Linked DNA regions of Ovis aries. The protein of the gene in region 1 purifies or fractionates together with the protein of each later gene. This does not show direct contact. Links are inferred from orthologs where the notes say so. Each region holds a gene or a part of one and is shown in the gene's direction. Other genes may lie near its edges. The genes, in order: SLC7A14 and GOLM1.

Region 1 (4,463 bases):
ATCTGATATACCCTGCATAAGCTCAAATGAAGGAGATATCTCAATACTTAACACCTGGATTCTGGTCCAAAACAGTAATAAATTTAAGCTAGGTTGACTTTCCCAGACTGTCCTGGCACTGATCAGTCATTTTTCTGGAGAGAACCCAGGTCCACTAGCTAGAACCCACAATCGGAAGGTACATTTGACTGCTCCATGCTAGGAAAGAAGTGTCAGACAGTCAACATTCTTCTCAATCAGAAGCCCAGTGAATGTGTTTCCAAGGATGGGGAGTTACATCTCATTAGTTCCCATATATTTTGAAGGCCTGGACCAAAGATCCAAGATTATGTAGGTACTGTCCATCTAAAGCAGTCTTTTCAACGCATAGTAAATAATTCATTCTCTGATGAGGCCAAACATGCCTCAGTTTGTACTACATAGTCCTCATCCTTTTGAGACATAACATAGTTCTCAATAGAACCAATGAAAAACTATAAGCCCAGTAAATTGCTTTTCTCCTTTCATACATTATCTGTCAAGCCTGAATGCACAGATACCCCTTTCTAAGTTTACAAAAGATACTTCCATTCTACTGGTGCAAATCACAATCTCCTTGTTTCTGAAATTTATTTTAACAGAGAGGGGGGAAGGACTCCCATTTATTGAGTTCTAAATACGTTAGGCAACTTTAAGAATATTACCATTTTTAATTCTCATAATAGTTCTGTGAAAGGGTCATTTCACAGATGAGAGAAGAAAGGCTAACAGAAGTTAGATACTCCCAAGGGTATCTATTTTTGGTATGGACCAAAATTCCTCCTCAGTCTTCACATCTCAAAGCCTCAATCTTTTCTACTCATTAGATGTTGAGAATCCAAAGATAAACTTAGTCTATTGGAGAAAGAGGAAGGTCTTGTCCTTTTTTTAGGAGGGGAGGGGAAATCAATCTCCCCCATCCTTTCCTTTCAGTAATGCTGAGGGAGGTGGAAGAAATTTAAGAGCAGCAAGGGCTCGGTGAAGAAGGGGGAAGCTTCCAGAGGGCAGGAACCAGGTCTGGGTAGCCAGCTTTGTCCAATGTCAAGTCCAGCAGAGGTGGAGCTTCTCGCAGAGGCTGTGCATTCGCAACACATCAACACTGCGGAGTCCTGCCTGGTCCTTTCCCAGGGCGGAGAGCTGCCAGCATCTCTTCCCCTCAGCCTCACGTAGCATGAGGTACTGGAAGCAGCACCTGGGGGCTTAATAGGCCAGGTAGTTGAGAGCGGCAGATAGCAGTGTGTGTGTGTGTGTGTGTGTGTGTGTGTGTGTGTGTGTACTGGGGCTGGGGGGGGGGGGGGGGGGGGCGTCTGGTGAGAGGCTTCTGCTCGGTAATGTAAGGGGTTGGGCAGCACACGTGACTCCAGGAAGGCGGAGACAGGCTAGCTGGAGGGAGGACTGCGAGGCCGCGGGGAGGGTGCAGATAGAGGGGCAATCTGAATAATTGAGGAGCTGTTCGGCAGTGGCGGCTGCCTCCTGCTTTCCTTTGCCGCCACCACCCCGCATCACGGGAGAAGAGACAAACCCGGCGCTGTAAGTGAGGACCGCCAGCCATCAGCCCCGGCAGCCAGTTCATCACCTCCAGCCCTCCGGTGAGTGAACGTCCCCCTGTCGCTGTAGTCTGTCCCCCTCCGTGGCCCCTGCATCCCAGCTGTAAAATGGGATGATCACCTCTTGTTGAATGAACCAGCGAGCCAGAGCCACCCGGAGCGGGTAAGCAGGAACATGGCGCGGAGGCTGAGGGCGCCCTCCGGGAAGGGGTCTCCTAGAAGGAAGGACGGAGCCGGGTCGGGGTCTCTCCGGCTCTGGCCTGCAATGGGGCCTGGATAGCATCCAGGGTGGGGGGACGCCGGGCTCCAACTGCGGGGCTGCCAGGCAGGTCCGGCCCGCGGGAGCTAGAGGCGGAGGAGGGAGCCGTGAGCAGCTTTCGGGCCGCCCAGGTCTCCACAGACGCCGGGCCCGTCCTGTCCCCCCGCACCTTGGTTCGCGCAGCTAGGTTTTCTCGGCGTCTGAAAGAGTCCAACGAGAGAGAGAGAGATGCTTTTCCGGCCGAAGCCCGAAGGACGGGCGGGAACAATGTCTCCCCTTTTACATTAGAGCAAACTCTTCAAAGGGACTCTATCTGACCCAGGTGACCTGACAAGGCCATGCGCTCGCAGGGGCATCTGTCCCCAGAGACCGGTGACACACCGGGGGCGACGAGGAGGACGTGATGAGTGAGGTGTCAGGGAAGCTCCCTGAACAGAGGGGGCAACCCTGGGGAGAGGACTCTCACACTTACACCTAAGTCAGAGCCCGCCCCACTTCCCCATCCCAAAGCACATCAGCGTCCTAAGAATTCAAAGGGCCAGAGTAGGGCAGTGTAGCCTCGCCGGACGCAGCCACAACCTCCTTCTAGCTCTTGAGTCAGCCCCCACCCTTCCCCTCACACACAGGTATTTTGTATTGCGATTGAAAAGTAAGACAGAAGTCGCCGAATGCCTAGAAGTAAAGTGAAAGGCGGAAAAAAGGTGCAGGAATGATGGAAAAATAGAGCCCTCATGGGCTCCTGGCACTCCCCACCCCACCGCCTATGCTGACTTCGGTTCTTGGAGGTCTTCAACCGAGAGGTGAAAAGGAACCGGCTCTTAGGAGGTATTCTCACCGTAGTGGCAGGGCCGGTCTCTGGCCAAAGTTGGCCAAGAAACCCAGAATGACATCCCACCTCCCCTCCCCCAACCCCACTCCGACCAGAGCCCCCTCCAGGAAGGGGTTCCGGGAGAATGCCAGTCCTGAGAGTGGGCCACAGACAGGACAGCGGGAGCTGTCCGCGGTGCTGAAAGTTCTGCAAAGCGGCGAGATAACACCGCCGAGGGACTGGAGGCTCATTGCTTGCCAACATTTTTCTCCAAAGCAGAAACTGTGTTAGAACCTCGTAAAGGAAGTCAAGTGGATCAAGTGACCTAGAGAGAGGGGCAAAGGTGCTATGCATTCCCCGTTTCTCTGCCTTCCCACCCCACACCCCACCCCCACCCCTAGATTCCCCTTGGAAGCAGGTTTTCCCCAGTGCTGGGTTGAGGAGCAAGGAGCGGGTGTCACTCTAGGATCCAGCTTTGCTAACTTGAATGGGAACGAATGTGGTGCCTCATTCTGTTTTCTCTGCCTGCGCTGTGAATCTTCCTGTTGGTGAAGTGTTGGAAACACAGTTAGGGTTGTTGTTCTGATAAACGCTACTGTGGCTTTCAAGAACCAGAGAACTGTGAGGCTGCACAAGGGAAGAGGCTTCATTAACAGAGAGACTAACTAGGCTTTCTATTCCTGGCTGAGTTTTTTTTTTTTTTTTCTCTTCAGCACCCTCTCTCTCCACCACGCATTATCTACAATGTAAATTTTACATCCTCTGGATACAGATCTCTAAGCAGTCTTGTATGTTTCTTTCAGAGTCTTTTACATTATGGGCTAGATGAGGAGTGAACTAAGCCAATTTCAGAAGGCCAAGTTAAGAGACTATTTACTTTAAAAAAAAAAAAACCCTACTATTTGCTGGGCCATATCATCTCATTTAAGCTTCACAATAGCTGCTAACCAAATGTATCACAAAGTTTAGAAAACTGAAGTTATGTATCTCAAATCCAGAGCTTGGATTCAAATTCAAGTCTGCTTAACTCTGAAATCCAAGCTATTTTCATGCCCTTATTTTGGCATTGACTTTGGGCAGTGGTTACTGGAGACTATAGCAAGAATTTGTCAAAGGTAGAGGACCAGCTTTGCTTTTCACAGACACTACTGTCTCTTCCAACCCTTTCCTCTTTAATCTGTTCACCCACCCACTGTCACTAACTCCCACCATACCAACTGCTTTTGTGCATGCTGCTTGAGATACCACTGTTCACACACTAGAGCTTCAGGATAACAGAACCGTGATAGAGGAATAAAATGGCAGGCTTTCCTGAAGAACAGCAAGGCTTTGGGGAGTCTGGAGGACTAGATCCCACTTGTGCTTTCCTATTTAGAATTCTACCCTGGAGTTATAGGGCTGGAAAAACCTTCAAGACCATTAAGCATCATTGTTTTGCAAAAAAGAGAATTTGAGAACCAAAAGATGCTTATTAGTCTAATGCACATGACTGAAAAGTTAGGACTGGAATCCAGTTGACCTGACTCCAAGGCCAGTGCCCTTTCCACTACTCCCATGATGCATCAAATATTTTTCCATGCCTTCTCTAATTATCTTTGACAAGAACATCAGCAGGACTGAATTATATTCAGTAATTTGTTGGTTTTGTTGTTGTCATTTAGTTGCTAAGTTGTGTCTGACTCTTTGCCACCCTATGAACAGTAGCTCACCAGGCTCCTCTGTCCATGGAATTCTCCAAGCAAGAATACTGGAGTGGGTTGCCATTTCCTTCTCCAGAGGATTCTCCCAATCTAGGGGATGGACCTACATCTCCTCCTTGGCAGGTAGATTC
Region 2 (3,811 bases), on another chromosome or scaffold:
TGAGTCAGTGATGCCATCTGCTAGGCCACAGCATACATGATCAGCTACCCTGTCCATCCACAGTCCTTGGGAAGGCTCTGGGAATTGAGTGGTGTGAGGATTTCTGTTTTGTATGGTGAGGTCACAGCAAACTGTCCTATGCACAGAGGAAGCCAAGGAAATTCAAGTCGTCAGTGAGGAGGAGCTTCAGAGGGACAGCCTGGCACTGCCGAAGGAGCCAGGCCAAGAACAGGCGGTGGAAGGAGACAGACAAGTGGGTGGAAAAGGCAATGGAGAACCTGGAGAGCTGGGCCAAATCCCACAGGTCCCAGCTGCCCTGCTGGCCAGCCAGGAGAATCAAGAGGTGGAGGGCCCTGAACGGGACCAGCTCGTCGTCCGCGACGGACAGGAGGAGAGGCAGGATGCCGACGAGGAAGGTGGGTGAGAGGCTCCCTGGACTGCCCACTCCTCTGCATCAGGCACTAGCCCCCACCATGTCCTTCCTGGTGCAGAACAGACACCCATGAAGATGACCAACCAGCAGAGTGCCATTTGGTAGTTCGTTCTGTTTGTTTGGTTCCATTGTCAGGCAGGAGGCAAGACAGAACGGCCAGGCACTCCTAGCACTTGGAACTTGTAGAAATCATTTTCACAGGGAGCCTAGAGGGCTTTCCAGGTGGAAGACCTTGGATGGGAGCTGAGCATAGAGTCCACATAGGTCTCCTGGCAGGCAGAGCCCACACATTTTCCTTGTCACTCCATCTCCTCCTGCCATGTCACTGGCAGTGCCTGGTGAACCGAAGGAGGAAGGAAGGACAGATGGAAGGATCAGATAGATGGAGGGTCATGCTTGTTTGAGCGTTGCAGAAAAGTGACGTGGGAATCTCACCTTTCTGGTTTGGTTGACTTCTTTTTTTTAAAGAAAAGTGTGGGAAACTGAGATGAGCAGAATATTCTGGGATGTATCTTGGTCCCTGAAAGATGGAAGACATTTTAATCCTAGCTAAGCCAGGGGCGCTTAGAAGACACCTGTGTGCTGAGCCTGATAAAGTGATAGAAGGTGGGGATAGTACTTACTGGCAGAAGTTACCCCGATTTTCTGAAGAGTACGTTCTTACAAGTTTTCTGTTAAATAATTGGGGAGGGAAAAAGAAAAAAATGACACTCTGGGGGGCTGATCAGAGTGGCACTCAAGTTTCAGCTCACTCAGCAGTTGGTCACAGGGTTTAACAGCTGCCAGAAGGCCTGAGCTACTGTGGGGGCCTACATGTCACACCTTGTTCAAGGTCAGCTGTAATGGTCTGATTATTAGGATAAAGCCACATGGCACACAGGCCTGGACTTTGTTTCCTCTTCAGGCAGTTAGTGCAGGGATATAGAACTAGAGCTGACTTTTCCAGACATGCTTTTTAAACAAAAGATCTTGTTTATACAGATATGAAATGTTTACAGTAACCCTCTGAGTATGTCTCTTGATTGCATCCTGTCCTGATCTTTTCTGGTTGCTCTTCTCTCTGGGGATGAACGCAGTGATAAATGAGCTAATTCTGTATGTTTGATGGAAAAATTTTACCCTTTGACTCACAATAGCTACTCCATTTCCTTCTCTCAGGGCAGTGAACCATTTTAAGCAGATACCTCCATTAACCAGAAACCTGTTTCCAAACAGTGATGCCTTCCTTTAACGTTGAGTTGATTATCTCTTTAAAAAACTGGAATTTCGTTTGGTGAACTAGTTACCCTGATTCCAGCCTGGAATGAAGCTCTTTATTTAGGGCCATATTTTAAATAGATTCAAAGTTGGAGTGGGGCATACATAAGTAGAGAAATCCTGCATGGTCTTTGCACTGGGAGCAAGCACATGAGTCCCTGTCATTTCCTTAGAGGAAGCAGAAAGAGCTGATTGTTAAACCAGGGTTGGGATGACCCTAGCACCCGGACTCTGGTGTTCCCATGGCATTGAGAGAGAAATGATGTAGCTATGTTTTGTGGCTCTGTGCTCATTTTTCAGGGAGAAATCAGCAGAAACTGGGAGCTGATGATGACTACAACATGGATGAGAATGAGGCAGAATCTGAAGCAGACAAGCAGGCAGCCCTTGCAGGGAATGACAAAAGCAGAAATGGTAATTAACAGTGGTGGTGGTGGTTGGGCGGAGGGGGTCACCTTTCGTGTCTGATTTGTGGCCCTTCACTTTTGGTATGACTGTGTACTGAATCCCAACAATAATGTTGTAAGTAATCCCTAATTAGAAGATTGTTTTCTCCCGAAGTCTTGGAGTGTAGCGGCAGTGGAGAGAGGTGACAGTTTCAGGAGGCCATAACGAGGACCTTTCAGAAAGTCTGCATACATGAACATGAGCATCAGTCCCTCAGGGGTCAGTGCGGATATGCTTCAGTGAAGTTTAGGAATTTCCCTTCCAAATGGTAGGTCACCGCATGATCATTTCACAGCACTAGTCGAAATGCTGTGATGTGTACACAGGCAAGTTTTTATAGTAGCACTCTGAGTTACTTTGTATTACTGTTATTTTGAACTTTTGATGAGTCTAGGCCTGTGGGATGCTCAGATTCTGGATTCATCTCCTTGTGATTGGATTCTGGTTGAACTTTTTTTTTTTTTTTTTTTAATAGCTGCAGTTATGTTCTTCTAGCTTCACACCAGGAGGCACGGGATGGCAGGCTGATCCTTGGTTAAGGTGGTACCCATGAGGTCTCTCTGCTGCAAAGGTCCACTTTCCCTGTGTAACTAACATGTCTTACAGAGGGGGATGCTGTGCAATGGTTGACTTTGCTGTCCATTGAAAACCGTGGTCTGGATGGTCATTCCACACACTGATAAGCTGTCATTCTTTAAGGACTCCCTCACCCCCAATGTGTATACATTTACACACACACACAAGCACACGTACTCTCTCTCCCTTGTTTTAGTTTCACTGTAGACTCAAGGTTTCCTTTCTTAAAGTTCATTTTTCCATCAAACTCTTGGTGTTTCTTTCTCAGTTTTTAAGAGTTCTTTATATGCTGGGGTGGTTGGCCTTTATCTGTGATGTTGGTTGCCAATACTACCTAGCAGTTTATCTTGATTTTGATTATGGTTTTTTGCCATGTGAAAGGTTTAAACATTTTTATGTCTTTTTTTGCCTATAGATATGGAGTCACAGTTTTCTCATTTAGAGTTGAATTCACACATTTTTTTGTTGTTGTTGTTCAGTATACTTTCAGATTTTTCTTCTGGTTTTATGAAGTAAATCAGATTGAGGAAAGCACACAAAACAAATGAGTTGTTAGAAGTTAAACATTTTTTAACTGCACCCTGCCTTCCTGATTCAAGAAACAGAACTTGGCTTCAGGAAGTTCCTTCTTTGTTGCCCTTCCTGTCCTAGCACTTTCCCTCCCTGTACTGAAATACCTGTCCTCACCTTTCCATTCAGCATTTTCTTGAATTTCTTTATGGGTTTATCACCCAAGTGGGCATCCCTGGATGCCATAGTTTAGTCTTGCCCATTTTATTATATTTGATATGTGTTTAAGTTTCAATTTACAAGTCTTCTCTCCCTTCCTTCCTTCCATCCATTCATCCAGCCAGCCATTGCTGTTTGACCACAGTCTGGAGAGTGTTGATTGTGTATTTCATGGTTCTGTTCATGGTTTGGTTTAGTGTGTTCTTCTTTCCTCCCTATTTCATGCAGATCACCAGCTGATATCTGGAGGTGGTATTTTAATTCAGCCATTCCTATTTCATTTGTTAGTTGAAATATTTTGTAAACAGACAAGTCATGGTATTGTTCATAGGCAGGATAAATGCTTCTTTTTCTTTACCAGTTTTCACA

What was found.
Region 2: the proteins of SLC7A14 (region 1) and GOLM1 purify together in Homo sapiens (co-immunoprecipitation; 3 studies listed by BioGRID and IntAct, with this or other methods). This does not show direct contact. The link is inferred for Ovis aries from reciprocal best matches to the Homo sapiens genes SLC7A14 and GOLM1.

The regions. Positions count from the first base shown.
Region 1 is NC_056054.1:217,550,149-217,554,611, forward strand, and holds the start of SLC7A14 (probable cationic amino acid transporter), read left to right. Parts: upstream 1-1,380; 5' UTR 1,381-1,607; intron 1,608-4,463. UniProt on the Homo sapiens protein: Imports 4-aminobutanoate (GABA) into lysosomes. May act as a GABA sensor that regulates mTORC2-dependent INS signaling and gluconeogenesis. The transport mechanism and substrate selectivity remain to be elucidated.
Region 2 is NC_056055.1:33,768,245-33,772,055, forward strand, and holds part of GOLM1 (Golgi membrane protein 1), read left to right. Parts: intron 1-146; coding exon 147-416; intron 417-1,990; coding exon 1,991-2,104; intron 2,105-3,811.